Tamandua tetradactyla: one gene and its partners. The protein of the gene in region 3 purifies or fractionates together with the protein of the main gene of each other region. This does not show direct contact. Links are inferred from orthologs where the notes say so. Each region holds a gene or a part of one and is shown on either strand. Other genes may lie near its edges. The genes, in order: DDX39B, U2AF2, HNRNPM and LMNA.

Region 1 (7,331 bases), on a different chromosome or scaffold from region 3:
TCTCACATCCCTCACGAGACTTTGCCAATTCTTTTTGATTATCTGTTTAATATACTCTAGAATACATCCAGGCATTACATTAAGCTCTACAGGAATAAAGGCTCTCATTCTTATTCTGGGCTCCCTGTGTTTGGACTGTTGGAATGATCTACCCAGACAGGAAGAGTTAGATTATGTGTTATGTTCAATAACTACTCGTTGAAGAGCATTTTGAAAATTATTACTTTTTTCCTTCGTTGCTTTGTATTTATGTTATATTACAAAATAAAAAAAGTTTCCAAGGACCTTTCTTGGTTCCTGTCAACTTTCAGGCCCTTTCAATCACATTCATCCCCAAACCACCTCCCTGGCTCCTCCAGCTCCAAGACTACCTAGTGCCACTAATAACCCTCTTGCACCTAGAAACAGCTCACCTTTGGTGCTACTGGCTCTGTCCTTATTTCCTTTAACCTGTAACAATACATGACATTTGAGTGCCTTTTCTCCCACTTAGGTTGCCATGCTTTGAGTCACATAACCTTGCAACCTCAGAAAAAACGGATTTGGTACCTGACCCAGAAGCCAGCCATCTTTTTTTTTTTAATTACTATGAAAAATAACATATAAATAAAAGGGCAATAAATCTTAAAGCACACTGCAAAAAATTAGTTGTAGAACAGATATTAGGGTTTAGTATGGGTTACAATTCCACAATTTTAGATTTTTATGTCTAGATGCTCCAAAACACTGGAGACTAAAAGAAATATCAATTAACGACTCAGCAATCATACTTATTTGTTAAAACCTATCTTCTCTGTTATAACTCTACCTTCTCCTTTGATCCTTCTCCCAGTCTTCAGGGGTATCTGAGCTATACCCATTCTAATTTTTTCATGTTGGAAAGAGCTGTCAATAATATGGGACAGGGGGAACGGACTAGCTGACACTCTAAAGAGACCAGCCCCTCTGGGTTTCAGGACTTAATAGGCGTAGGAACCCATCTGGAGGTTGTAGGGTTTCTGGAAAGTAATCATAGTGCATGGAAACTTTGAGAATCTCAGATAATGCCCGAAGTGTTCTTTAGGGTTGACAGGAATGGATTTGGTTGGTGTTTGAAACCAGTCATCTTTAGACCAGACATAAAGTTTTCCAGAGCTCTGAACTGGCCCCAAGATAGGAGGATTAAAAGTCCAACCAACCTTTATTCATCAAAATAACAAATTTAAAAGTGACAGATCTCTATGCTACTTTTGGATCATTAGCACTTTCGTGTTACCATGAATGAGACTAATCTATGCAAATCTCTTCTATTGCTAAAATCATTTTTAGTACTTCCTTACTTTTTGGCCTATCCCATATATAAACCTTATCACCTGGGAAACCATAAACACATGTTTCTTGTGGCTCTAAAGAGCACAACGAATGAGGACTCTATGCCCAAGTGAATAATTACCTTCTGATGGATGCTCAAAACCACAGTCAACAATGGCCCGGAGCAACTCTGGTTTGAGCAGGAAATCACGAAAGCCAGAGCTATGGATGGAGACATAGGAGCCCTTGACATCCTTCTTGGCAGGAGCCTCAGCCCCATCTCCCCCAGCTGCTGTCTCCACTTCATCATCTTCATAGTCCAAGAGCTCATTGTCCACATCGTTTTCTGCCATGACTGGGCCGGCAGGGGTAGAAGGGGAGGAGGGGTCTCTAGATGGGTTCAGGCAGAATAGATGAAATCAAGGAAGAAAGAGTAGAGGACTGGGGAACAGTAGAGGAAAAGGAAGACACTAATTTCTGACTGAAGAGCTAGGGAAAAAAAAAAATAAAGATGGAAGATATCAGTCATGAGTAGAGCCCTCACAGCCTCAAGTCTTCATTCCCACATCCTTCTCTTTCCCTAAATCATGAAGCCTTTATGTGGAAAGAAAGAAAACACACAAAAAACATAAAAGTGAAAAGCAATTATAATACAAGGAATGGAAAAAATGGTTCCAGGACATACGTTTAGGACACAGATTGCCAGCATGACTAGGATCAGAATTGCAGAAATCAGGAAGTTGGAGGAGGAAGACCAGTTATAAACTCTAGATGGTAAGTAACATAGTAAGGGAAAACGAATAATAATAATTAAAAAAAAAAAATACAGCGAATGGGGGAGGGGTGGAGTATAGAGAATGAAGATGAAAATTCCTAAAAAGTCCTCAAGGCAAGACCTTGTGCTTTCCCTATTATCTCAAGGTGTGAACCTCCTAGACAGCAGCCATCAGTCAAGGGTGATAGATAAAGGTCATCAAGGCGCAGAGCGCTCAAAATGAAAAACATCATGTGGCTGTCATCCTCCCCCGAGATTTCTCCAGCCCCTCATTCCTGAATACCCTCCTTTTGCCACTTAAAAAAAAAATCAATGTGTAATTAATGGCGGGGGTTAAGAAATGACTCAGTCAGGGGAAAAAAAAGTCATCTCTCTATCATACGCTGAATGAGATGCTAATTATTAAACGGGAAAGAAGTACCCTCACTCCAAATTTAATAGAACCTTCACCAAATGGCCACACATCATCGTTGTACTACTCCGCAAGGGAGATTCCTTCCGGAGAAACACTTACACAATGACATCATTCGTAAACATTTGGAAAGTATTTCAAGTAAGGGCAGGCAAGTCGAGGTGAGAAAAATCCACCAGAGGCCGGAAGTTGGCTCCTATCCCTGTTGCCTCCGCGGGCCTAAAGAGGGCCCCGAGGAGAAGGGGAAAGGGGGAAGTTGAAAAGCGCCCCGCCCTCTGTAAATGGCCCAAACCAGGAAAGGCTTAGCACCGCCTCTTTCATATCAGAGCTGGGGCCTCTGATAAGCCAGACACCCAAGGAGGACCCGAAAGTAAAAGAAACACAATGGCGCCGGGGCCACCATCTTGGATTGCACACCACCACCCCCAGCTTCTCCGGCCTCCCCCCAAAAGATCTTTGCTCTCAAAAGAGACGCAGAAAACGGAAATAACGATCCAAGTAAGCCCCGGCGACAAGACTGTCACCTGTGGAATAGTTATCCGGAGCCCAAGAGACCAAATGGCTGCGAAAAAAGTACGGATGGAGGTGGATAATACCGAAGACCGAAGCTTACCTGACCAGGGCGGGCGCGTATGGCGGCGGCAACAGCTACGAAGAAGAGAATCTGCCTTCACTTCCGGTCGGCGGCCTCCTTCTCCTCGTCCTCCCGCCTTCTCGGCTGTCAGCGCGCAGGCGCACGGGAGCGAATGAAGGCCCTTCCGCGATTCTATAGTTCCGCACGCATGGAGGTTGCCTTTGGAAAAAGCCTGTCTAAAATTGTTTTAAGACGCCACTTCTAATTTCTCGGTTACTGCGGGTAGTAACGTGCATGACGGAAACCAATATCCCCTCCCATTATTAACTTTTCTCTCTTGTCCTACTCTTCTCTACGTCCCTTGTCTCTCTTTTTAGGTTCTTGTCACACAGGTCTTCTCTCTGGGCACTACATCGTGGGTGCTTGATGGGTGAGAGCGTTGGGGACTGTGAGTTCCCACGGGGTCCTTGGCCCGGTCATCAAGGTGACCTGGTGGCGGCTGAGCTCGCGTTACGAGCTTAAGCCCCCTGCTAGGGATAGGAGAGGCGGTCTAAGGAACTGGAATGAAATATAGTGCTCAGGAGTCCTAGCCCTATCCACTCCCCAGCGGTGGAATCGGAGGGCAGGAATGGGAGACACTGGCCCAGAATTGTGCTGTCGCAGTAGCTGATTTTTCAAGGGCCTTGAGGTTGATGGACGGGGTTGAAAATCAGAAGGATGTCTTGAATCTTCTGAATGGAAGATAGGAGTCTAGATTCTACCCTGAGCTTGAGAGATACAGAAAACTCCATAATTATTAACTCGACCAGAATGTTCTTAGTCGTCCCACCATCGCCACAGACACACACAGACCAGCCCCATTGTTCAGCCGGATTTTTTTCTGAATGAAACATTTGACACCCGTCTGAAATAATACAGAAGTTAAACGTGATGTCCTACTGCTTAACAAAAATGACTACAATCATTTGGCCAGGCCCTGAACTAAAGAAGCTCTTTACCTGTTATCACAGATAACAAGGGTAACCTCACTATTCCCATTTTATACACAAGCAGACAGGCTTTTAGAAGTAAAGCAATCTGTCCAAAGTAACATCTAGTAACGTGGCAGAGCCAGGATGTGGACACTTTCAGAACCTGTCTGTTTACCTCCATTGTATCCTGCCTACCTCTTAAAGAGGGAGAGGGGTTAATAATTACACGATGGATTGATTACCTTATTGGTGAGTGAGGTGGTGAAGCAGACCTGTCTTCCGGTTTGCTAAACCCCAACCAAAACCATTCCTGCCAACCCTAAACTTAGGGCTTTATCTGAGATTCTACAAAGGTTCCATGCACTGTGATTACTTTCCAGAAACCCTACAACCTCCAGACGATTTCCAAGGCCAGAAAAGTCCTGAAACCCAGAGGGGCCAGTTTCTCTGTAACATAACTTGTTCCATCCCCCAATCTCATATTATCGACAACCCTTTCCAACATGAAAAAATTAGAATGGGCATAGTGGAAATACTCCTAACGATTGAGAGAAAGATCAAAGGAGAAGAAGGCGCTATAACAGGGAAGATAGGGTTTAACAAATAAGTGTGCTGAAATCATTGCATTGATACTTCTTTTAGTCTCCAGTGTCATGGAGCAGCTAGAATGAAAAACCTAAAATTCTGAACTGTAACCCAAACCAGACTTTGAAATCTATAACTAATTCTTGTGGTGTGCTTTGAAATTTATTGCTTTTTTTAAATTTTTTTTTTAATTTTTAACCACAATGAAATATTATCTCACACCCACCAGAATGGCCATTATCAATAAAACAGAAAACAACAAGTGCTGGGGAGGATGTGGAGAAACAGGCACACTTATCCACTGTTGGTGGGAATGTCAAATGGTATGACCCCTATGGAAGGCAGTTTGGTGGTTCCTCAGGAAGCTAAGTATAGAATTGCCATATGACCCCGCAATACCATTGCTAGGTATCAACTCAGAGGACATGAGGGCAAGGACACAAACGGACACTTGCACACCAATGTTTATAGAAGGATTATTTACAATTGCCAAGAGATGGAAACAGCCCAAATGTCCATCAACAGACGAGCGGCTAAACAAGCTGTGGTATACATATGATGGAATATTATGCAACTGTAAGACAGAATAAAGTTATGAAGTATGTAACAACATGGATGGACCTTAGGACATTTTGCTGAGTGAGATTAGCCAGAAACAAAGGGACGTATACTGTGTGGTCTCACTGATAAGAACTAACATTAGTGACTGAACTTGGAGAATTTCAGTTAAGAGCAGAGGTCATCAGGAGATAGAAATAGGGTAGATATTGGGTAATTGGAGCTGAAGGGATACAGATTGTGCAACAAGATTGATTGTAAAAATTCAGAAATGGATAGCACAATACTACTTAACTGTAATACAATAATGTTAGAACACTGAGTGAAGCTGAATGTGAGAATGATAGAGGGAGGAGGCCTGGGGGTACAAATGAAATCAGAAGGAAAGATAGATGATAAAGACTGAGATGATATAATCCAGGAAAGCCTAGATTGTACAATGATAGTAACTAAATGTACAAATTAAAAAATGTTTTTGCATGAGGAAGAACAAAGGAATGTCAATACTGCAGGGTGTTGAAAATAGATGGTAATTAATATTTTAAAACTTTAACTTATGTGTGAGACTAAAGCAAAAAATGTTTATTTGGTACAAAATTTATATTTTGACTAGTGCATTTCCTAATATAACTTATGTGGACAGCTTAATTGAGCACCACAGTACATGGAACCTTGAGTAGGTCTAACCAGAGTGATGTCCCAATAAATCCCATGGTGATCTGAACAGTGAATAAAAAAGAATTTGCAAAGTCCCCTTGGGTGAATGGTGAAAAAGCAGGAAAATTCAACTTCCCCGAGTGGAGAATTCTTGATATTCTCACAAGCAGTGTGGACAACCAAAACAATAGGCCAAGCCCTCAATCTTGGGGTTTGTTGGGTTTGTTCATATGAAACTTAACCCCACAAAGGATAGGCTAAGCCTATGTAAAATTAGGCCTAAGAATCACCCCCAAGAGAACCTCTTCTGTTGCTCAGATGTGGTCTCTCTCTCTCTCTCTCTCTCTCTCTCTCTCTCTCTCTCTCTCTCTAATTGTATGATGATATGGCTGTCGCAGTGTGACTGTGTGGTTGGGAGAGCCTTGTGTCTAATGCTCCTTTTGTCTATCTTATCGACAGACAAGTAAAACATATGGATTAAAAATAAATAAATAATAGGGGGAATAAATGTTAAAATAAATTTAGTAGATTGAAATGCTGGTGATCCGTGAAGGGGAGGGGTAAGGGGTATGCTATGTATGAATTTTTTTGTTTTCTTTTTACTGCTTTTTCTGAATTGATGCAGATGTTCTCAGAAATGATCGTGATGATGAATATACAACTATGTGATGATAGTGTAAGTTAATGATTCTATAACAAGAACGGAATGATCATACGATAAGAATGTTTGTATATGGTTATGTATCATAAATAAAAAATAAATTAAAAAAAAAGAGTCACCCCCTAGAGAACCTCTTTTGTTGCTCAGATGTGACCTCTCTCTCTCAGCCAACACAACAAGCAAACTCACTGCCCTCCCCGTCTACGTGGGACATGACTCCCAGGGCTGTGAACCTTCCTGGCAAATGAGCCAGGACTCAGCACCAAGGGACTGAGAAAACCTTCACGACCAAAAGGGGGAAGAGAGAAATGAGACAAAATAAAGTGTCAATGGCAGAGAGATTCCAAACAGAGTCGAGAGGTTGTCCTGGAGGTTATTCTTATGCATTAAAGAAATATCACCTTGTTAGTCAAGAGGTAATGGAGAGGCTGGAGGGAACTGCCTGAAAATGTAGAGCTGTGTTCCAGTAGCCATGTTTCTTGAAGATGATTGTATAATGATATAGCTTTCGCAATATGACTGTGTGATTGTGAAAACCTTGTGTCTGATGCTCCTTTTATCTACCTTATCGACAGACAAGTAAAACATATGGATTAAAAATAAATAAATGGGAGAACAAACATTAAATTTAGTAGATTGAAATGCTAGTGATCAATGAAAGGGAGGGGTAATGGGTATGATATGTATGAATTTTTTGTTTTCTTTTTATTTCTTTTTCTGAATTGATGCAAATGTTCTAAGAAATGATCATGATGATGAATATACAACTATGTGATGATATTGTAAATTACTGACTATATATGTAGAATGGAATGATCATATGGTAAGGATATTTGTGTTTGTATGTT
Region 2 (7,601 bases), on a different chromosome or scaffold from region 3:
ACAGACAGGGAGTATATGGGTGGCTGGTCCCATTCGTGAACCCTCTTTCACATACTAATGTTGGACAATGGATGAGAAAGGGAGCTCAGTTGACTCAAAATGCTGTGTGCAGTTGTTGCATGGGAGCAGGTCCACCAAACCAGGAAACAAGACAGGTCTGAGGGCCTGGCCTCCCCAACCAGTGGGGTCACTCTGGGAGAACCCAAGAAGCATATTTCAAGAGTCTCAAGGAACAACTCAGGCAGCACCACTTCACGGTCATGCACAGCAGAATGGATACATGGCCCTGTAGCCAGTCAGAGCTCAACATCACATCACGTTTTCTGCTCACCAACCACACAGAAGCACACAGCGGAAAGACCTAGTCTGCACTTCTTGAGGAAGGGTCAGGACTTGGCCGGATAGCATTTGGAAAGCACCTTTCCCCGTGCTTCTCCACCTCTGACCCAATCCCGGAGTAGGCTGAGATCTGCCTAAGTAGAAGCTTGTGCTGGCCATGATTTCACAATAACAAATGTCATCCATTGGGCACTTAGCATATGCCAAGGCACACACCAAACTACCTATGTTAACCCGTTTAATCTCAGCCATCTTTGACCACCTAAGATCTGGTAAAGTCTAAGTTTTCTGAGCCTCCATATCCTCTACAAAAGGAAGGAAATCTCTGCTTCACAGAGCCCTTACAAGGATGCACTTAGAAGAACCATACAAAGAGCGTTAAAAAAGTGTGTGGCACATGGTAAGCACTGAGTTTAACCACAACTATTATTACTACCACTCGTATTAATGTTCTCGAAGTCCCTATGACAGTAGAATGACGATGGTCAGTCAAGTACAAAAGTATTAAAGTAGCACAGCTACTAAACAGCCAAGCACGTATTTGAACCCAGGTGTGTACTTAACTCCACAGCCTGTACTTTTAAGCAGTATGAAATATAAATACCGTGAATACTCAGTAAACGTTATTCCCTTCCCCAGGCACTAGATCCTAACCCAGCCATCACCCATCCAAGTCCAGCCTAGGCTCAAACGAGAATTCCTGAACCCTCATACAGTCCAGTCCTCTGAAGAACTGAAGGAGAAAAGGCTCCAACTAGAGACATGGGCAACTCAAGCCTCAAGCACCAAGAGAACCAAAACCTCAGTCTTCCCTAAGTCTTCAATCTTAAACCAAACTAGGGAGACAGGAAGTACAAGAAGTCACCTACCAACTCCCCCAAAGTCTAATATACTTGAATTTCCTAACCTGACCAGCACCAGCACCAGCACAGCCCCGTACTTTGTTCTAACCGTCACAAGCCTCGGCGCCACCTGAAGGGCACCTTTGTCCCACCCTTCCCAATTCTACCCACCTAGGCCAGGTCACTCTTACCCAGAACCTGTCTCCTTACCTCTGTGCTAAGATACAAGAGGCCGAGGCTGGGTACTCTTAGCGTAGGGGCACAACAGGATTTGGGGCTTCTCTCAAGTGGGGAAAGGATGGAAGATAAACACTCCATGTTGGTACTGCCAGAACTGCCAGAAGTCCCCACGTGTGTAAATGTACTTGCGAGAGGGGTACTTACACGAAGGAGCAGGGGTCAAATAAGCGCCCCACGACCAATGGCGGGAGGAGGGTAAAAACACCCTGACAGGCAAATTTAACCAGAAATCATGCAAAAGGAGTGAGACAGAGCCGCGCGGCCTCCACGCAGCCGGGCGAAGGGCCTAACGCATAGGGCCCACGTGAAGGGGGGGGGGGAAGAGCGCACAGACGCCATTTTGGAAACAAAGGGGGCGTGGAGACTGAGAAGCGGACCCAACCGGAAGCGGAAGTGCTAGGGCAGCGGGAAGAAAAAGAAGAGATTACGGGCCCTAATATCAACTCCTTTACGGGAAAGAGTAGTCGCTTCAAGACACTTCGCTAGCTTGCGCCCCAGTCCCTCGCACTGCCTCCGCCCAGGGCCACGTGGGGCGAGGGAATAGACGCAGCGGCGCGCATGCGTCACGGGTCCGCGCCCGCCGCCCCTCGTCTCGCCGCGCGCGCGGCGGAACGTAGAGAAAGGTCACGTGGGCGAGGCGCGCGCCGCTGAGCGGAGGCGGGGGGGGGGGTTACCGCGCGGCACTCGGAGGAGGTGGGGAAGGAGGGAGAAAATGGCGGGGGCCAGGGAGGGAAGTGGAGAGCCGCCCCGACCGTCGCCCCATGACCCCAACGCCCTCACCTTGCTTATTCTCGTTGAGCTGCCGCTCGAACTCATCGAAGTCCGACATGCTGAGGCGGCCGCGTCGGGGCCTGTGCTGCTCTCGCCTCGCCTTGCTGCCCGCCCGCTTCGGCTACTTCCGCCGCTTGCTTCGGCTACTTCCGGCCACCGCCGGCGCTTCGCTGTCTCCTACCTAATCAAGCACCCGGAACCCCGCCCCGCCCCGCCCCGGCTCCGCCCTTGTCCCCGCCCGCCAACCCGCGAACTGCCCCGCCCCCTAAGCCTCGCTCGGAAATGCGTCGGCTGTTTCCGGACAGCAGAGGAAGGGGTCGGAAAGTGGCGGCTTCGGCTGCCTCCGAAAACCCCCGAAGCGAGGGCTTTGCCGGCTTCCCAGGCTCCCGTAACTTTTGAGATTAGGTCTTCAACGTTCGGGTCTTTCCGTAGGACCTCACGTTCCTCCACTCTCAGCCTCCTCTAAGGGTTCGGCTTCTTGCGACAATTCAAACTGTCCCAATCTTTGGTTCCTTCCGCAGATACCCCCGGTCTGCGCCTGCCCTCTGGAAAGAATCGGCTACTTCCGACAATCCTAACCGTCCCAGACTTCGGCACTTTCCGAAGGTTCCCGGCGCTCGTCTTCGGGCTCCGCCAGCGATTACGCGCAATTCCAAGCTTCGGCTCTTTCCGGAAATTCCACTCGCACCCTCCTCCCTTCTCGGAGAATTTCGGCTCCTTCCGCGGCCGTTTCGGGAAGACCTCACTGGCGATGAACAGCTTCGGCTTTTTCCGTCGGCGCTTCGGCTCCTTCCAGCTTCGGAAACTGATCAGGGAGGGAGGACGGAGGAGAGGTGGGTCAAGGGAAAGGACGCGATAAGGGGCGGAATCCCACTTCTCCACACCTGGCTCTCCGGGTGGGGAGAACAGAAGAAAAGAAGGAACGATCTCGCGGATGGGCCGAAAAGGTTGCGCGAGACAAAAGCAGGCAGCGAGATGAAGGGTGCGCGCGGCCGCTGCGGAGTTGTCAGCGCGGTTTTTTGCGCCTGCGCGGGGCGGAAGGGGCGGGGCGCGAGTTCGGTTTGTGCGCCTGCGTAGAGGTCGGTCGGAGGCGAGATTTTCTCTGCCTGGGTAGGGAGACGGATGCCTAGAACCTTCTGCGCGGGTGCGCGAAAAGGTCCCCAATTCCCAACCGTTAAGCCCGGCCGCTTTCCCCTGGTTGCCCTAGCAACTGCGTAAGCGCGCTCCATCCCGGGTGCGCAGGCGCAGGAGGCAGCGAAGCGCCCACTTCCGGGAGAAGGCTAACCTGGCGCTATCGCCGCCTTGCGGGCGTGCGGAAGCGTCCTCCCAAAGAGTCCCTAGTCCCCGGTGGCCTCTTGGACTAGAGGTCATTGCGTCCCGCCTCCTGCCGCGGCGCCTCTACTTCCAAATGGCACGGAGGCTAGGGTTCACGCCTGTTCTCCGGAGCTCTGCCCCCTCGGAGTTCCTGGGGGCACAGCTGCTCCTTCCCCTCCCGCCTCTGCCTCCGGGGGTCTAATTACAGCCTGTCTTCCCGCATCTCCCCGTTTCCCGCCCGACCGCCCGCTCCCTGGAACCCCCTGAGCCCCCGTCAGCGTTTCCGTGGCAACAGCCACCCCCTCTTAGGAAGAGGCTAGGGCCTGGTTTATTCCAAATTTTGTCGTCTCTCTTTAATTTAAATTCTCTGAATAATTCTCTTTCTCACAGGGAATTAGGGTGGTCCGGAAGATGCGTAGGGAGCTCCCGGCCGGGGAGGGGTCCGGCCAGCCTCTCTCGCGGATGGGGGTGGAGACGGGTACATACAGGCCCTCCAGACGCTAGGAGAGAAGGTGGCACTCCCAGAGCGCGCCTCCCAGTTTTCCCAGGAGGAAAGGTGCCCGGCGAGGGCAGGATGAGTGCAGCGCAAGTGCAAAGACTTTCTTTTTGGAGAGGGACACCAGTGCTTAGGGAAGGGCAGAAACAAGCCCTCTGGGCAGTAAGCTCTTCAGAGTCTGGCTGAGTGAGACCCCAGCCCAGAGAAAGAGAGAAAGGCGGGTGCTAGGAGGGGAAGACCTGTGTACGCGAGCACCTGGGGCGGGAGGGGCTGCAGAGGCGGAGGAGAGAGGTGCGCCTCTCCCGTCGCGGCCCGGGTGCTGGGGAGGCTGGAGGAGGGGACAGGGCTGGAGGGGCTGCGAGAGTAGCCGTGTGGAACCCGGCCAGGCTGAGCGGGGGCATCACCGCTTGAAGCGGTAGGTGATGGGAAGCAGCAGCTTGCTCTTCTTTAGCGCTTGCACCTTCTTGAGCGTCTCGTCGTCCAGGGCCAGGAAGCAGCGGCGGGAGTACTCGAGCAGCCGCTCCTTGGAGGGGTCGAACTCGCCCACCTCGGCCAGCTTCTCGGGCGCCACGATGAGCAGCTCGGCGATGGGCGTGGTCAGCGCCACGGTGTTGCGGTCCACACGGTGGTGTTCGAAGGCCCGCGACATGCTCTTCAGCTTCTGGAAGGTGCCCAGGATCTTCTTGTAGCGGCAGAGGACACCGTCGGCGTCTTTCACTGCGGGGGCGGGGGGCAGAGAGTCAGAGCTGTAGGGGCCGGAGACATAGAGGTACACAGGTGCAGACGGGGTTCCGAGATGCGGTGGAGAAAGGCGGGGGGCGTGAAGGGTGCGTGCAGAAGAAAGGAACGAAGTCAGAGAAGGAGGATCCAGGAGGGGAGAAGCAGGGACGAGGGGCCCCATACAGGAAAGGGCAGGTGAACAAGATGGAAAGCAGGAGGATAAAAAGATGGAAGAATTAGAGGAGAAGGAGACAAGACACCGAAGTGGAACCATGGGGAACTGAAGAAGGAAGGCTCCGGAGTGCGGAGGAAGAGAGCAGAGCAGAGCCTCCCCCCAGCTCTCGGCTCCGTCATGACAAGCCGTCAAAGCTGGCAGGTACCCCAGGACTGATCTCTTCACGGGGGGGACACGGCGGCCTGCCGGGAAGGGCCTCTGCGAAGGTCACTGTGCAGGTGCCCACGGCCCCACCCCAGCCCCACCTACCTCGCTGTCTCTCCCGAGCTTTGGGCTTCCCGAACCGCCTCCGAGTGGCACCTCCCCTCTGCCTCTGCCTCTTCCTCTCGCTGGAGCTGCCTTCCTCAGACCCTGCGCTCAGCGACGAGCCCGCGGACTCGGGCTCGGACGCCTCGCCCTCAGCCCGCCGGGGCCCCGGCTTCCCCCTGCAGTGGTCCTCTGGGAGGACAGGAGGAGGGAGACACGTGAGCTGCGGGAGGGGGAGGGAAGAGAAGGCACGAGGCCTCGCCACCTTTCCCGTGGGAAACTCTGGGTCCCAGGAAGGGAAGAGGCTGGACTTCCCGAAATGAGGGTCTCCTGCAAGGGCCAGCATCATCTCCAAGGCACCCGGGCTGTAGAGGCTCAGCAGGGCCCCTAAAGCTGGCCAGTGCCTCAGTGGACAACTGCAAGAGGCTTGCGAGGGGAAGAGTTCGGGTGTCCGAGGCCTCTGGGTAAGGACTACCTGACAAGGCAGGGCTGTGGCCACAGGTGGTTCCCATAGTAGAGAGGGGGTCTTCTGGGGACCCTAGCAGTCCCTCCAGAAGAGTGGAGCCCCTGGGGCAGGCAAGGCCTTGGCAATCACAGGCCCCTGTGTCTGACTGGCTAGGAAAGGCCACTGCTTTTAAGACAGGGAGCCAGCCGGGGTCCCCAGAGAAAGTCCGACACCCTTGGGCTGCACTAGCTGGGATACCCTCAGCTGTTCCTGAGGACAGTAGGAGCTGGTGACCCAAGGACACCAGAGGACCTGGCCCACGAGAAGACAGGCAGCCAGGGGGCTCAGCCTCAGGGAGGGCCAGCTGCGGGGTGGGCCAGCTCTAGGAGCTCACCCCAGAGCTCCTGGCTATGAAATAGAACCAGGCAACAGAAGGGGGTGTGCTGAGAAGCTGGGCAGGGTCTGGAGGGATAACAGATGCTGACACACACACACACGTCAAGTAAGACCTGAGGCTCCACTAGGGAAGGGTGAGTAGGCCAGGAAGGGATCTAGGGTCTTTAGTAGGAAAGGAGCTTTAATTAGCCAAGGGGAGGGGACAGTCGGGACCATCAAGCTGGGCATGGGAAGACGCTGGAGGTCTGGACTCCAGGTCTTTGCGAAGTGGAAGTGCCCAGGGAACCCCAGCAGAGGAGTGCCTGAGGGCACAGAAGTCAGGGTGGGCAAGATTTGCGGGGGCTGACAGGGATAGGAGACTTGGAACAGTGGAAAGGGCCGCCAGGGCAAACAGGGTTGGAGAGCTTTGGCTACCAGGAGACATGATGCACCCAACCCAGGAGGGGGGCTTCACGCCTCTATCCCTGAGGAGGGTGGGTGGCAGAGGGGTCCGATTCAGTGGAGCTTCCCTGGTCACAGCCCCCTGCCCACCTGCATCCATGCGGGCTGAGGAGATGAACTTGTCCAGCTGGCATCGCAGGAAGTCCCTCTCTTCCTCCAGGTCCTCGATGCGCTTCTGCAGCCACGAGTTCCTCTCCAGGGCCAAGTGCAGCTGGGCCTTGACTCCGTGCATCCGGGCCAGGGTGGGGGACGCCGCCTCCGGAGGCTCTGGGAACACGGGGCGGCGGCATCACACCCCAGGCCTCTCGGCCTGGTGTGCCACCGGCTCGAGGCCCTGCGCGCCCGGCCCTAGCTCACCCTCGAAGTTTCCTCGAGATGGGCTCAGCCTGTAGAAGATCTGCGGGTCTAGGTGGGGCGTCTCGTCGAAGGGGATGGAGATCTCCAAGGCTTCATCGTCCTTCTTCACTGAGAGGAGAAGCCGGGGTCACCCAGGGAAATCTGCGGTCCAGCCCCCAACCGCACTACCCTGGGGGGAAGGGTGGGCCTTGGGACCAAGGGTCGGGAGGGGGCCCCAGTTCCTCACTTGTCCTCCTCCGGCTGTTCCGATCACTCATGGCGCGGCTGGGGGCAGACCCGGGCAGCGGAGCGCCTCAGGGGCACTGCACAGAAACGGCAGCCATGGGTAGAGGGGCGAGGATGGGCTCGCAGGGTCCACCCTGGGGGGGCGGGGGGGGGGCCCGGACTCTCGAGGACTGAAATGGGAACTCCTGGACTCGGGCGCGTGGAGGGAAGAGGGGCTGGAACGCGAAATGTCTGGGTTTGCCATGGGGTCGAGAGCAGGGACACCCCGGCCGGAAGGAGGACCCTCCCCACGGGTCAAGAAGCCAACAGCGGAAGGGGGCGTCCGACCCACGCGCGGCGCCTTCCCTGCCCGCCGGCACCCCACGCCCCTCCCCCGCTCTCGCCTAGGGGTGGGCAGGACCCCTCTCCCGAGGAGGGTGGGGGCTGGGCGCGTGCGCACCGCGGGGGGAGGGGTACGGTGGTGGGCGAGACACACCTGGGGACATGCGCCACCCCCCTCCCACAGGCGCCTGGGGTCCGAGAGGCCGGGGTGCC
Region 3 (7,793 bases):
CGTGTCCTTTAAAAAACACACAGCCGCCTAGCAGTATTGTACGGATGTACCATATTTATACAACCAATCCCTTTTGACAGACACCGGTATTCTTTCCAATGTTTACTTAATTTTTTTTTCCCCGTTACGAACAATGCTTTGAGCACCTGTGCAAATGTTTCTTTGGATCTTGCTTGCTCGGTCAAAGGGTATGAACCATCAACTTTCTTTCTTTCTTCTATTTTTTTTTTTTTACTTATTTTGAAATAATTTCACACTTTCAGGACAGTTGCAAAACTAATAGAAACCCTTACAGAGAACTCCAGCATATTCCCCCCACCCCACCTCTAAATACACCAGCTTTTAACATTTTGCCACCTTTGCGGCATCGTGAGCCACTGCCATCTCGCCCCTCCTGTGGGGCTGTATCACATCGCACCCACCCATTGAGCAAAGGGGGTCCTCCTTGTTCCCCTGCTGCAGACACCCCCATACCCTGGCAGGACGCTGAAGTCCGGTGGGGAGTTTCCCAGGAGAGTGAGTGACTGAGTGGTGGTGGGTGCACAGAGAAATGCCCAGAGGCTGCCTCCCCTTCTGACCGCATCAGCCCTCCCCGGGTGCCGGCCAAGGCCAGTGCCACACGGTCCCGGGTTCCCTCCTGTGGGAGTGGAGGCCAGTGTGGCCTCCCCGTCCACTTCGGCTCTGTCCCGCAGGTCTCCTTCCGCTACCATTGCCAGCTCTACTCGGAGTGGAGAAGGACCAATCAGAAAGTCCGCCTGAAGATCCGGGATGCGGAGGGCTCCGAGGGCACCCAGCACTGCCCACTCGCAGCTGGACTCCTGAAGAAGGGGGCAGAGGAGACGCCTGTGTGAAGGTTGAGCCATCAGGGCCCCCGCGCTGGGGGATGTCCTGGCATTTGGAAAGATGGAAACTGCCCGACCCTCCCCACATGGCCAGAACGCTTCTAGGGCCAAGAGACACCAGGTCCTGTGTGAATCACATTTTCAGCTTTTTTTGCACTCTGTTGTACACGACGAGAAGGACAGACGGATGTGGTCTTAAGCTCCAGACAAAGCGTGCACCCTGATCTCATCCTGAGGTCCACTGGGCACCTTTTCGGGCACCCCCCTCCCCCTGGCCAGGAGGGTCTGGCCAGCTTTTCGCGCTTCTCTACACCCAGCGGACTCGCTTTCCTGGCATCCTCGACTTTATAAAGTCACACTGAGTTTTGAAAAAACCTACCCCAAATGAATAAAAGGCACCCATGCTCGGCGAAATGGACTCATCGTTATGTTTCTGAAGCAAGGTCTCCAAGACAGGGACGTGGGACCCTTCTGAAGCAAGGTCTCCAAGACAGGGACGTGGGACCCAAAGGCAGTTGGGCCACCCGGAGGTAAAAAGGCCTTCAGCTTGTTCTGATGGATCTGTCATGGAAAAGGAAGAAGCAAACTCTGAGCTTTTAAGGGAAGAGCAGGTAGTGGGGTTATATAATAAATAATCTTAAAAATACATGCAAGAGAACGGTGTCCACTTATTTTGCATCTTTCATGAGCCAGATAAGGCGCCGGCCCCTTTACACTTGCTAATAGCTGCTGGTGGTGATGTCCACACTTTATTAGGCCCTCCAGGATGGCGTCCACATCTGGGCCTTCCCATACACCATCCCTCTGACTCGCACAGCCACCCCTGGTGTCGGAGTGGGGAGAGAACAGGCATTACCTCCGTTTACAGGTGAGAAGGCTGGGCAGGAAAGCATTTGGCTAAGGTTTTCCCTGGCTGTGGGAAGTGGAGCTGGGGTTGCTTCTCTGCCTTCCAAGAGGCCGTGGGGTCAAAGCAGAATGCGGTCATGTTGTCAGCAGTACCCATGTACTGAGCATTTTCTGTGGGCCCTGCTCTTTACATTTGAGGCCTCCTTGCCCAGGGCTGCATTTAATGCTTCACAGCAGCCCTGAAAGGCAAATTCTCAGGTTCTGTTATTCACCCCATTTGCAAACAGAGAAACTGAGGTGCAGGTGGGGTCCCAGTTCCCTGAGGGGCCTAGCACATCCTATTCATAATTGAAATGAAACTTCCTACCATTTTATGAATCCCAGCCTGGTACCCCTTTCTGCCCTGGACCTGAAAGGGAGAGGGAAGCAGCAGAGAAGAGTAATACAGGTGTAGCCAACAGAAAGGGGCAAAGGCTGGGAGGCTGGACGCTGCCTGGCAAGTAAGGAGGAAGGTGGCAGACCATGAGGCTGGAGTGTGTGACCAAAGGGCAGAGAGACGTGGCCAGACAGGCGGGCAGAGCCCCGTAGAACTCGGGTGACCCATGCAATGTGGTCTGCCAAACTACAGAATCACACCCTACTGCTATCTCTCGGCTGCTGCTCTAGAGCTGCACACTCTACAAAGACCCAGTCTCCTCTACCACCTCCCACCACCCTGTCAGTCCAACTGTGGGGTGCAGCACTCCTGGATGTGATGTAAAGAGGCTCCAGGACATGCCATCAGGAACAGAAAATGCCATTTCCTCTGCAAATCTCCAGTATTAGAGCTTTCGATTATATCAAGGAGAAAGTTTTAATTTGGTACTCGGCTGGGGTTTTTGTTTATTTGTTTGTTTACCTTCCCTTAAACTTTTGAATTTGAAACCATTTCAAACTTACAGGACAATTGTAAAAATAATACAAAACCAATACAGAGAATTCCAACACCTTCCTGCATACCCAGATCTGTTCATGTTAACATTTGATGACAGTTTCTGATCATTCTATAATCCATCTCTCTCTCTTCTAAACATCTGAGCTGAATGTAGGCTGTATACATCATGTTCTTTGAACACATAGTATTTTCATAACCATTTCCTAAGAACAAGGGCATATGCTTACGTAACCACCTTAAATGCAGCTATCAAGTTCAAGACATTTCACATTAATTCAAAGCCTACATGATAATTTAATTTTTCATGTGTCCCGATAATGTCCCTTTGAGCCTCTTCTTCTCCATTTTTAGACTCACTCCAGAATTTCTGGTTGTATTTATTGCCATTGTCTCTTCAGTTGCTCTTTTTTCATTTTTCTAAATTATGGAAACATATTCAACATAAACTTTCCCATTTTAACCACTTCCAAACATACCATCCAGCGGAATCAGTCACATTCATGATGTTGTGCTGCCCAGAATTATAATTTAATAACATTGTCCTTATTTTTTTTCCTTATTATTGACAATAACCTATCTATAGTAAGTTTTCAATATGTGTGGTGTTACAAAGCAAAATTTCCAAATATATTTCTTTTAAGGAAAAAAAAAAGGAATGTTGATGTAAAGGTGACTGTGAAGGAAATAAGTCAGGATATGTCAAAACCCAGGACTCTGGGCAATGCTGGGTTAAGTCAACTAGCTCATGGGAGTTCAGCCTTGAAGAGATTTTGCCTCCTCCACCAGGGCCTGGCTTGTTCTTAATCTCCAGTCACACCCATGCTGGGAGAAATGATGAGAGAGGTGGCGTTTTGTCCCTGCTGCTTTGCTCTCTGCCACCTCCTCTGGACCCTGCTGGGCACAGGAACTCAGGGATTTGGGGGCTCCTACTGTCCCAGGGGCCCTTCCAGTCTAGGGTTGGTATGGATGGGATAGGGGACTCTAAGAGAGAAGAGATTTTGGAAAGGAAGGGGGAGAGAAGGAAATTAATTCTGTTACCAGGGTGAGTTTAGGAAATAAGTGGGAACGGAGCTGGAAAGGTTTAGCCTGTTTGTCAGACTGAACTACTGGATTTAATCTGTAGGCCTAGAGTTCCCGAACTTGAGTTAGAATCAACAGGCAGAAATAAGCAGCTAGGAGGGTGTGGCAGGTGAAATACTGCTCCAGAAGCTTATGAGAGAGGGGGAAAACCCCCATCTTTTTCCCTTGGCAAGCCTAGAAAGAGTTTGGTGGTTGGATGGCAACTTCTTCAAGAACCAGTGAAACTTTTCAAAATTCCAAAGACACCAACCAGGGAGGGAGCTGCTGGGTAAAGGAGCCGGAGGCCTCTGAGTGTATCTCTAGGCACCAACCATTATCTCTCCCAGGACACAGTCCCCCATAGCAGTCCAGAACACACCAGATTGGGTACAGGTCCCACACTTGGCAGGGTAGCAGGATCAAAGAACTCCTATTAAGCTTAATGGAATCTTCTGGTCTATGGCTCATCGTTTCCATCATGTTTTGAGTTTTGCTTGTTTATTCATAAAGAAACAGGCATAAGCACGTAGTCCCGATGTGTTCAGTGAGAGAGACTCAAGCGAGGGGCTTGGAAGCCAGGAGCTCCCAGCGTGATCGGGGAGAGCGACAGGAAGAGCACAGCTACTTATAGTGCGGAATGTTTCTTGCTCTGAGAGATGGCGCTTTTCACACCTGTGCTACTTCCCAGACTCTTCCCGTCCTGCCCTCCTTGCCTTGACTAACTCCTTAACGTTCTAATAAATCTTCCAGGAACCCTCCCCAGACAGAACTTTCGCTGTCTCTTTGACCCCAGCTCTGCAGGAAGCTGAAAGTGACAAGGTCCGGGTGGGGGGAGGGGGCGATGTCTCCCCTACTAGATTTTGAGGCCGGGTCGGGTAGCCCTAAAGTGTCTACTCCAAGTTTATTGCGGGAATGAATGAATAGCACCTGCCGGTACGCGCCTGCGCGAGGCAGGGGGCGTGGCTCCAGGGGGGAGGGGGAGCAGGCGGGAGCCTGCGGCGGTGCGCGCAGGCGTTACTGGTCGCTCCGGGTCACGTGAGCGCGCAGGCGCAGCGTTGCTCAGCCCGCTCCCTCACACAAAGCCCAGACGCGGAGAAAATGGCGGCAGGGGTCGAAGCGGCGGCCGAGGTGGCGGCGACAGAACCCAAAATGGAGGAAGAGAGCGGCGCGCCTGGCGTGCCGAGCGGCAATGGGGCTCCGGGCCCTAAGGGGTGAGTATTTCACTGTTTTCTGCACCGGGTTGGGTCCCATCGTGGCGGCCCGCGGCCTCGCGCCGGCGGCTCCGTTAGGTCTGTTGGCGGCCTCCCCACCGGCGCGGCCTCGGTTTCGGCCCGGCCCTTCCCCGTGAGGCCTACTGAGAGCGGAGGCGACTCCAGGAGCCCCTCCAGGGTAGTCCCTTGCTCCCAGACCTCGGCCTCCCCGCCTCCAGCCCTTGCTGGCGGGGTCCGACCACGATGCTGAGGCCTCAGGCCGAACCTTGGCTCGCGGCAATGATGGCGCGGGCTCCGGAGCCGGAGAGCCCAGGGTCCGAGGTCGGCTCGGCTCGGCTGCTCGCAGGTCAGATGACCTTGGGCGCGTGGTTTAGCCATTCAGCCATCCACCCACCCGGGGTCTCAGTTTCCTGATCCGTAAGGTGGGGGGAGGGGAGCGAGTGCACGCGAGGGCCCAGACCCCCGCTTGCCGTCAGACCCAGTGAACGGTGGCGGGGAAGGGGGATGGTGTCCGGCAGGGCCTCGAGGCCGGGTCGGGGCGCCCCCCCGCGCTCCGCTGCTTCTCCTTGGGCTCGCCCCCCCCCCCCCCCCCCAGCCCCGCGGGAAGTGCCTCGCTCGGAACCGCCCCTCGTCCCACGCTGTGGCCCAGGCGCTAGGCGCTGGTTGCTTCCCGCTCGCCCTCCCCAGGTGCGCAGTAGGTATTTGTGAAGTGATCGGACTGGCTGCTTAGCGTTCGTTCTTAGAAACAAAAAGTAAGGGAGGAAAAGTCCTCTTCCGTATAGCAGAGAGATTTTTCGTCATTGAGGGGGAACTTATAATTCAGAACCCGTAACCTTTTTCGAGTCCAGATCGGGGCTCGGTCTCCTGTCTCCCTGGATTTTTAAGTTTCCCCGGACTCCCCCCCGCACCAACCCACTGATTTCAGATTATGTTCGTTTGAAAGAGAGAAGCCAAATATCAAATATGTTTCGGCCCCAACCAGTGGTCTTGGGGTGAGGGAAGGAGAACTGTGGGCGCACATTTGATTTCCCCCAGATTTGCAGTATGATTAACGTAGAAATTGGGTTTTCGATGATTGATTTCTGGGAATTAAGAGAGCGAATGTAAAGTGCTTATGTTAATGAGCGCTCAGTAAATGCCAGTCATGTTGTTAGATGGGGAAAAGTTCCAGGGCCTTTCTCTCCTTAGGTAGGGAGAAACGAGATGTTTCTAAAAGTGAAATTTGTTTTGGACCACCACCGTGGTTACTGGCCTCAGATATCAAGAAAGAATTGTCCTTTAATTATTCCCAATACCTTTACTTTCGACATCGTGGGAAACGGATGCTCATTTCAACTTTTGAGGGCCTATTTGAAGGACTTTAATATACATTTATGTCCTGTTTTGCTTTTTCTCTTAAAGCAGTTATCAGCAGTTCATAATGGAGTGCAGTTTAGAACTATGCCCAGTCAAAGATTGAGTTACAGGTTTATCATCCGGGGTACATTTTTAAAAATTTCCATTTCCCGCTATTTTCAAGTAAATAGTATTTTGTGACCTATAAATTTGACAAACATAATGTGTGGACTTTTAGAGCCTTAAAGTAGAGCTAAATCTAGGATTGGCTTAAAAGAAGGATGTTTGAAGCTAGCAACGCTTAGATGTTTTTTGTAAGACCAGTGGAAAACTTTTTTTGCATTATGTAGCTCATGAAGCAAAGCTCTTTAGAAGTCCATCTCTAGAGGATGGCCGAACTTTTTTGCATTGTGAAGCTCTTGAAGTGTAAAGCTCCTAAAAAGTAAGATGCGCAGAGGAAACAAGTCTGAGGAACACATTTTTAGTAAGGTGTGTATGCTGTGATAAAAACAAGTGGGGTGCCATGAGAAGGAGCACAGAGGAGCGTTTCCCCGATCCTAGCTAAAGAGGAGATGGGGATGGCTAAGAACTTTGAATTTTTATCTTGAAAACTGTGAGGGATGGGAAGTGAGTGAGAAAGTAGAAACTTGGTTCTGATCTTCTCTGTGGCCGCCATGAACCCTTGGTGTGAGCTTGTTCTGCAGTTTTTTCCTCCTGGATGTGGAAGGAGGTGGTGTTTTACTCTGATGAGACATCTGTTCCAGTCAAGATTCAAAGTCAGAATATATTTAGTCAGGGAAAAAAATAACTTTTTTTAGAGGAATTTATAGGTTTGATTTTTGTAAAGATTATCATATATATTTTTACCATATATATTTAAAATTATTGACTTACTTCCTTTCCAGATTAACTTTGTGGCTGAGATGGATTGGGTTTTTTTTTGTTTTTGTTTGTTTTTTGGTTTCACACATTTAATTTTTTTTTAAATAGGTTTTTTAAAATTAAATTTTTTTAAACATAACAACATACAAAAATGAACATTCTTACCTTATGATCATTCCATTCTTGATATATCAGTAACTCACAATATCATCACATAGTTGTATATTCATCACCATGATCATTTCTTAGAACATTTGCATCAATTCAGAAAAAGAAAAAAGGAAAAAAACTCATACATACTTCCCTCATTGATTACTAGTATTTCCATCTACCCAATGTATTTTAGCCTTTGTTTCCCTATTTTTAGCTACACCCCTTATCACTCCCTTTCATTGATCACTTGCATTTCAGTCTTCTACATTTATTTTAACATTTGTTCCCATTTATTTTTAATTCCTATGTTTTACTCGTCTGTCCATACCATAGATAAAAGGAGCATCAGACACAAGGTTTTCATATGGATTGAGTATTTTAAAAGTTGAAATTCGTGGTTGTACAGAAAGATCCCTGGGGAGGTGATGTTAGTGTTAACTCTTTTATAGTTGAGGACACTTTTTTTCCCCCCACAGTAGTTGAGAAAGCTCAGGAATTTGACCCAAAGCCATTTCTTTCTCTCACTGCTTC
Region 4 (7,802 bases), on a different chromosome or scaffold from region 3:
TGTTTTCTGTTGTTTTATTTTTCTGTTGTCTTTTCATGTCTTTTTCTGAATTGATGCAAATGTCTGGGAAATTATCATGATGATGAATATGCAACTATATGATATTGTGAATTGCTGAGTGTATGTGTTGGGAATGTTTGTGCTTCTTGTAATTTTTTTTAATTAATAAAAAATTTAAAAAAAGAAAAGAAAGAACTGGAGGTGCTGGGGAGGTAATAAGAGTGGGGAGCTGGGATAGGAATCCAGGGACTAACCTCTGACCTCCAGTCTTCAGGGTAGGCGAGGACATGGGGAGCAGGGCAGGGGGCAGTTAGGGCCAGGAGATTGTTGCTAAAAAGCGCCTTGGAAGCCATTTGGTCCCAGCCACTCCATCTGCAGTGGTGAGCCGGTGTCCACATCTCTCCCCAGCTCTGTACATTTCGGTGATGTCAAGTTGGTAGCTTGAAATCAGCCACAGTGAAAGAATTTACACCAAGGAAATCGGCAAATGCGACACCCCAGGGCTTTTTTTGCTTTGGCCTTCAGTAAACGTTCGCAGGCACACCGCTGCCCTACGCTCTTCTGTCCCTACTTTACAGAAGAGGAAACTAAGGTCTGAAGACATGGAGTGACCTGTTCAGGGTCACATGGCAGTTTTCTTCATTCAATCAATCATTTGCTTAGCAATTTTGAGGGCCTCCTCTGTGCGGGGCACTGGAGAACACATCCCCTGTACTGGGGGAGCGTGCAGTCTGGTGTACATGCAGACGACCTAAACAAGCTCAGGCAGCTCTGTGGGCTAAGCACAAACACAAAGGAAAGTACTGGGGCCCACAGCAGACTCGGGGAGCTCTGAGGCCCATCAGTGTGGTCAGAAAGGCCTCCTGGGGGACATGACTCCTAAACTCACATCTGGAGGATGAGTGGGAGATAGCCAAGATGAGTTGGGGAGAGAAGATTCAAGGCAGAGGGAATAATGTGTGCGAAGGCCTGGGTTCTGCAGAGGGCCTGCCAGCCCCAGGGGATCCCCGTATCCTTTTTTGCACACTCAAAGTCCTACTGTGCCTGAGTGGTGACTGAGGGGAGGGGTTTACAGACTTAGAAATTCCCTCTGAGCCATCAATCAAAAACTCATGACAGTGACACGGCACCATTACTGAGTTCCTGCTGTGTATGAAGGCCCCAGACCAGGGGCTAGAGAGGGCACAGTATCCACCAAGCACCATGCAGACAGCACCCACTTGGAGATCAGGTGAGGGTAAGGGTAAAAGCTGGGTGTGGAGGGTGGGGGATGTGGAAAAGCAGAGGGAGGAGGTGAATATTTAGCAGGGGAGGCGGGTGGAGGGAACATAAGGATAAGCAGGCTCAGCTTCCAAACAACAAACATCTATTGAGCACCTACTGTGTGCCAGGCTCTGTGCCAGGTGCTGGGAATACAGTGGACCAGCTCCAGTCCCTGTCCTCAGGGAGCTCCCAGTATACTAGGAGAAACAGAAATGTAAAAGGCACTTACAATATAGTGTGATGAAAGGCGAGTGACACCCAAAAAGGACCACGGGGGATCTCCCAGGGAAAGTGACATCTAAGTTAAGTCCTGCAAGATGACCAAGCTTCAGGTAGGTGAAAAGTGAGGGAAGAGCAGATGGAAGGGAAAACACAGGAAAAGGCTGGATAATGAGAACACGGTGTGTTCAAAGACCTGAAAGAAGGTCCCTGTGGCCGGAGAAGAGGATTGGGGGCAGGGGCGGTGTCAGCGGCAGAGAGGAGGTGAGAAATGAGGCTGGACCGGCTGGAATTTTGTTTTGAATCTAATGGCAATAGGAGCTGTTGTAGGGCTTTAGGTAGGAGACTGCAGGGTTTTAGGTGGGGATTGGAGGGTGCTGCAGGAAGGGGCAAGAGTGCAGGCAGGGAGACCAGTTAGAGGCTACTGCAGGTAAGAGACGATGGTGGCTGCAGCACAGCGGTAGCGGTGGAGGTGGGAAGTCGGTGGTCTGGGGGAGTATTCTGAGCTGTAGCTGTGAGTACGTGGTGGACTGGATGGGAGGGAGGCAGGGCAAAGGGACGGATCATAGATGGTGCCAGATTTCTGACGTGAGCAACCAGGTGGACAGTGGTGTCATTTACCAGAAGCTGGGGGCACTGGCAGGGGAGTGGGTTTGGGCTGCTGGGGGCAGAGTCAAGACTTAAAAACTCAGAGTTCCTGGCTCTTCGGCCAGCACCACCTTCTTCCCTGTTAGGGCTACCGGGAAAAGGTATAGAGAATGTGGGATAAAGGAAGGGGGACGTGGGGATGGGGTAGAGCAAGAGGAAAAGGAAATTAAAAAAAGTAACATTGGCTAACCCAGGCCCAGACATCATGCTGTGTGCCCTATATGTCCACTTCGGTTCTTACCACATCACCAGCCGAAATGACCCACCTCTAACTTTCCTGCCCTATATCCTGCTTCGCTCTTCTCACCAGTGGAGATCATTACTAGGAATTACATTATTTACTTGTTTACTAGCTGCCTCTCCCCTCCCACAGAATATCAACCCTTTGTTCTTGTTCTCTGGTGGATCCCCAGTGCCTAAGGATATCTGACATGGTAGGTGTTCAATGTAAACTTGCTGAATGAAAAGTTAAAATCCTTAGTGGGTAGATACTATTAACAGTGGCCCAGGTCACAGCTAATAAGTAGGGAGGTTGGGACTCAAATGACCATTTTCTTAGCCCCTGGGCTAAGAAGGGACACAGGAGGGCAGCTGGAGGGGACTCAGGATAGCCAAGGGAGCTGGTCAAACCCATGGGGATGCCCAGGTCTCAGCCACATGGGTTGTCTCCTGAATCAGAAACAAACCGGTAGCCTTTGTTTGGTCCCCCGACTGTGGGATGCCCTACCGGAAGCATAGAACGTGGGAGAAACCAGGGATGGTACCTGAGCAGGGAGGGCAGGGCACCAGGGCCCTAGTGTCAGAGCCCGGACAGGAGCCAGTGGTTGGCCAGTAGCGCCACCTGGCGGCAAACACGTGTCTCCTCCATCTGTCCCCTGCTCCCCAGGCAAGCTGACACGCCACCCCACCGGGAATCCTCCCTGAGTACCTCGGGTGCTGGACCTCCAGACATTCTTCTCATTCTCTCCCTTTGAATGAATCTCACTCATTCTTCAAGGACTCCTTCAAATCTGCTTCCTCCAGGAAGTCTCCCCAAGCTTCTCCCAGCTCCAGTGATCACTCCCTTCTTGGTGGAATGTTAAGCAAAGACAGCATCTCCAGCCTCCCGGAGCTGTGATGAGAATTAGATAAGATCAGGTCTGTAAGGGCCAAGGAGAAAGAGTGGCACCAAACAGACACTCAGGAAACAGCGGTCCTTTTCCACTCCTTTCTCTGACTTCCTCTTCCCTTTCCTGAAAAGGAAGCCTGATCAAACAGAAGACACAAGGAAGTCACAGGGCCTGAGCTCTCTAGGCCTCAATCTCCTCTGTAAAATGAAGCCATTAGATAACTGATGAAGCCATTCATTCACTCATTCATTCAACTTCTATTCCAGCTCTGATATTCCATATAGGGATTATGTCTTTTATACCCATCAGTTCATCTGTGAACCCCTTAAAAGCAGTGACAGGCTGTGTCTTATTCAATATCCCCTGATGACACTTAGCACAGTGCCTGGCACAGGGAGGGTACTAGAAAAATCCCTCCTCAACAACCTACCAAGGTATGTTTACTACTTCCCCTTCCCTGCCCCCAGAGGGCAACCAGCCCCGACTGGCACCAGGTACCTCCCCTTCCCTCGCTCAGCCAGAAACCAGAGCTGGCGCCACTGGGTGAGGAATCTGGGGACCAACTGTCACAGCTCCAGTATCACCTGCCTCCTGGACGCCTGGGTCCAGCGCTGAGTCCCAGAGGGGCCCTGTTAACCAGCTGTCCTGGGGGACCCAGGCTCCACTCCAGCCCCTCTAAGCTACTGTCCCTGGGGAAATCAGACCGTGCAGGGGATCTGTAGGGGGAGGGCTGAGGTGGCCCCAGGGAAGGAGGAGGTGTGTTTGTCCAGGTTCAAACCTCAAACTGGGTCCTCGAGGCCCTTGGAGATCAAGTCCACAGTGACAGAAGGAGCCACGGTGACCGACTCTTCCCTCTAATCCCCAGTCCCACAGACCATTTCTGCCCCCACTTTTAATCCTGTTTGTCCATGTTTTCTGAGTTATGTAGGCTACTTTCTGTGGCTCATGGAAGGCAGGGATCAAGATCTTTTATGTAGTCTACAGAATTTTGCCCAATATATTCTTACATTCTCATTGATTATTAATTATTTAATGAGTTGAGCATGGTCCAGTAACGGAGAGGAAACTGGCTCTCAGCAGGAAGGATGATGGTTAGATAGCAGGGTGGACTTCCCACAAAGGAGAGATATTAAGAAAAGAAAAATGGGAACCCCATAAGGCATAGAAGAAGAGGCTCAGCTAAGTAAGATGGGGAAGAAGGCATCCCGGTAGGAATAGGGAGATGAATGAGATGACCCCTTTAAGGACCTGTCTGCTTGGTAGGGCAGCCTTGGTGGTGGCTTCGTGTGCCTCCCTCTCTCCCCAGGGACTCTGAGCATAGGATGGGAGAGCGGCAGGCGTTAGGTGTGTGCCCCCATCCCGGGTACTTGGTGTCTGGACAGTGACAACTGGTGCATGGTTTCCTCCAAGAGAATGGACGCAACTCCACATAGAGACACCCCTCCCCCACGTCTGGGTCATACACACCACACCTGTCTTCCAGGCTCCACGTGAAACCTGCACCACTCCACTCGCAACTTTTGAGAGTTTATGCCCTGCAACCAGGCTATCACACACCCAGACACACACTTGTACAGACACAATGCACACTCAGGCTACTCATCTGAGTCCTTTGTTCCCCAGACCTGAGACAGGAGCCTGGCCTGTGTGTGTGTGTGTGTGTGTGTGTGTTTGTGTGTATGCGTGTGTGTCTGTGAGTGTTAGAGAGACAGAGACACAGTTTGCATTCCAGTACTCCATAGAAATTATTTTTGGAATTATCTGCTGTTTGGGATGATCTTATTTTGGCAAGTCTAGACCTAGAACTGACTTCAAGTAACTCATAGTGGGTGAGCATCTCTTCCAGTGTCTGGCACATATTAGGAGCTCAATAGGAATTGGTTGACCGACTGAATGACTGAATGAATGAATGTATGCAACTTAACTAACAGGGACCACAACTCGGCTAAAATCAACTTCGAGGTAAGAACAACCAGGCAAGGAAACTAACACTGACTGAACGCCTAGGATGAGCCAGGCAGTGTGCTAGGGACTGGGCTTATTATTTCCATTTGGAGGTGAGGAAATTGAGGCTGAGCATTAAATGACTGCTCAAGAACCAGAAGCCTCCTCCCCCTCACACCTGAGACTTCACACATGCAATTACACTCAATCTATCCTTTTGGAGTCTCTGCTCTAGTCGGGGCTGTGTGCTGGGCACTGGGGAGCCAGAATAGGGGGACAATGACAAAGACGAGAGACACAGTCTTCCCCTCCAAGGTCCTGGAAGGGGGAGATACGGCACCTTCACACCTTTCTAGTCATAAGGAAAGCCGTTTCCAAGCAAATTGTTTAAGTAAGGCTTTCTACCCTCATCAGCATAACTATAGATTGGGCAAGCAGGAGTAGGAAGACAAAGGAGTACCCATGGACAGGAACCCAGTGTGGGCGCACAAATGTGTTGTTTGGAGAGAACGAGGTCTGGTGAACAAAGGAGGCCATCAGCCCCAGGGAGCATGGGAGGGACCCCTCAAAGTTCCACCCTGCGAGCCCCACTCGTAAAGGTGTCCACTCACGGGCTCCCCTATGGTCTGGGCACTGTGGTACTCCCTGCTGTGCACAACCCCCCAAATACACACATATACAATCTGCAGGCACACACGTGATCCCAAGCACAGACTCCCATGTGTGCACATCCATGCCACCTACTTAAGTGCCCTCACACACGCACACCTGCCCTCCAGGGTGCCAGGTCCACGTCTACCTCTCTCCTGCAATGAAGGATGTTTGTCTGGAGTCACATTGGGACTCTGAGGGTGGACACGTGGTGCCTGGACACACCCAAGGGGCTGAGTCATCCTTGCTGTTGGATCAGTAATGTGGGTCCAGGAGGGACCCCCGCCTCCATCACCCAGCCCCTCAGCCCTTCCCTATTCCCATTCAGCAGCTGTCCCCACCTCACTCACACACACTTGTTTCTGTCCTTTGTTTTCCTCGCTGGGCAAATCCCCAAGGCTTCTTTGGTCATTAACCTCCTGCTTTAATTAGCTTAGCAGGGAGGAAAGTGGAGGCAGGGCAAACTCAGGGTGGGGGTCTGGAGTGGGAGACTCCTTTCGGTGGGGACAAGAAGGCTCAAATCAGCTGGTGGCCCCATAAAGACACCTGGTACAACTCTGCTATTTCTATTAGTGTGAAAAACAGTCACCTGGGCCTCAGAGTGGGAACTTTTCCTAGTGAAAGCCCCAAATCCCCAGTACCGCAGTTCCCCCAATCCAGGTCCCTGGGACAGACAGAGAGGGGACAAACTTCAGGAAGAGCCCACTCCCCGAGTTCCTGTCGCTACAAATCCTCCTCTACCACTGTCACCCAGTGGGGTGGCATCCGTTGTTGTTCATCTTGTCAATAATCTTATGTTAAATCCCTGAGCTGGGGGCACACCTCCCCAACCCGGGGGATAAGGATTAATTTAGGGAACTCTGCTGTGCAGCTCAGCTCTCAAGGCCTCCTACTGCCAGATCTATGAGGTCATCTCATTCATTCCCCTGCCTCCAAACAGGGCTTTACTTCACAAACCCGTTCAGATTTTCGGTTTCCAAGACACTCCAGAAAAGGACACCTCACCACTGTAGCTCATCCACCCGCTCTTATACTCCTCTTTTGGGAAGTCCTTCTTAAAGTCTGACTTCAGACCGTCAAGCTGCAGTACAAACTCTTTTCTTGGGAAAGACGTAGGCATAAAAAGGGTGACAAAAGAAATGCCGAAGATATGAGGTAGAAGGAGAAAAGACTGCATTATGTTCCAACTTCCTCAAACTATCTCTAAAAGTACGCAATCACCCAGTTTAAGCTTTAAAAACTTATTTTCACTTTCACCAGATTTCCAGAGTCAAAGGGGCTGAATTACTGGAGAGAGATGCATGAAGAAAAGTGGAATGACAGAAACGGCTAAAGGACTGAGCACTCCCAAGCTGTATTCGTGGCCCAGGATGAAGGAAGCCTGGGTCCCCAGTCCACCCCCAGCCTCTCCTCCTTCCGTGGCACCCAAAGCTCAAGCCCCTCACCCAAAACTGTTAAGCCCTGCCATGCCTGCGTCCCCCTTCTCCCCTCTCTCTCACCCCCTTCGTCCTCCTCACTCCATTGCGCCACGGCCCTCCTGACCCTCTTCCACCCACCAGAGGGCCGAGAAAGAACTCACCTACCTCCAAGTCGATGCCTCCGAGACTGGAGACGGGGTGGGGGGTGGGGGTGGCTCGCCGCTTGGGGACGAGAGGATCGTGTCCTTTGCCAGGGGGGTCCAGCCCTCCAGCCCGGCACCCCATTTTGGCCCGCACCGCGCGCAGAGCCGGGTCCCCCGCACCCACCCCCAGCCCGTCATCGCGGCTGCGGGCTTTGTCTGCTCGGCCGAGAGCCGCTCCCCGCGCCCGGGAGCCGGGATCGACCCCGGGAGAGCGCGAGGGGCGGGGAGCGGAGGGAGCGCGCGGCCCGGAGGCCGGGAGTGGGGGGTGGGGGCGCCGCAGCGACCCAGCCCGGACCGCTCCCCGCCCCTCCCCCCTCATTACCATAAAAAAGAGGGACCCAGGACCT

Evidence for each region.
Region 1: the proteins of HNRNPM (region 3) and DDX39B purify together in Homo sapiens (affinity purification with mass spectrometry; 4 studies listed by BioGRID, with this or other methods). This does not show direct contact. The link is inferred for Tamandua tetradactyla from reciprocal best matches to the Homo sapiens genes HNRNPM and DDX39B.
Region 2: the proteins of HNRNPM (region 3) and U2AF2 fractionate together in Homo sapiens (co-fractionation; 4 studies listed by BioGRID, with this or other methods). This does not show direct contact. The link is inferred for Tamandua tetradactyla from reciprocal best matches to the Homo sapiens genes HNRNPM and U2AF2.
Region 4: the proteins of HNRNPM (region 3) and LMNA fractionate together in Homo sapiens (co-fractionation; 3 studies listed by BioGRID, with this or other methods). This does not show direct contact. The link is inferred for Tamandua tetradactyla from reciprocal best matches to the Homo sapiens genes HNRNPM and LMNA.

Annotation. Positions count from the first base shown.
Region 1 is NC_135331.1:87,132,222-87,139,552, forward strand, and holds the start of DDX39B (spliceosome RNA helicase DDX39B), read right to left. Parts: upstream 3,222-7,331; 5' UTR 3,091-3,221; intron 2,987-3,090; exon of another isoform or gene 2,580-2,986; intron 2,304-2,579; exon of another isoform or gene 2,232-2,303; intron 1,780-2,231; 5' UTR 1,644-1,779; coding exon 1,433-1,643; intron 1-1,432. UniProt on the Homo sapiens protein: Involved in nuclear export of spliced and unspliced mRNA. Component of the TREX complex which is thought to couple mRNA transcription, processing and nuclear export, and specifically associates with spliced mRNA and not with unspliced pre-mRNA.
Region 2 is NC_135342.1:4,094,773-4,102,373, forward strand, and holds the start of U2AF2 (splicing factor U2AF 65 kDa subunit), read right to left. Parts: upstream 3,227-7,601; 5' UTR 2,251-3,226; coding exon 2,202-2,250; intron 1-2,201. Other genes in the region: CCDC106 (coiled-coil domain-containing protein 106), read right to left, coding at 4,403-4,719, 5,207-5,395, 6,576-6,752, 6,843-6,950, 7,069-7,099. UniProt on the Homo sapiens protein: Plays a role in pre-mRNA splicing and 3'-end processing. By recruiting PRPF19 and the PRP19C/Prp19 complex/NTC/Nineteen complex to the RNA polymerase II C-terminal domain (CTD), and thereby pre-mRNA, may couple transcription to splicing.
Region 3 is NC_135337.1:84,875,418-84,883,210, forward strand, and holds the start of HNRNPM (heterogeneous nuclear ribonucleoprotein M), read left to right. Parts: upstream 1-4,728; 5' UTR 4,729-4,779; coding exon 4,780-4,892; intron 4,893-7,793. Other genes in the region: E3 ubiquitin-protein ligase MARCHF2, read left to right, coding at 693-851. UniProt on the Homo sapiens protein: Pre-mRNA binding protein in vivo, binds avidly to poly(G) and poly(U) RNA homopolymers in vitro. Involved in splicing.
Region 4 is NC_135330.1:9,116,965-9,124,766, reverse strand, and holds the start of LMNA (lamin), read right to left. Parts: upstream 3,218-7,802; 5' UTR 3,059-3,217; intron 1-3,058.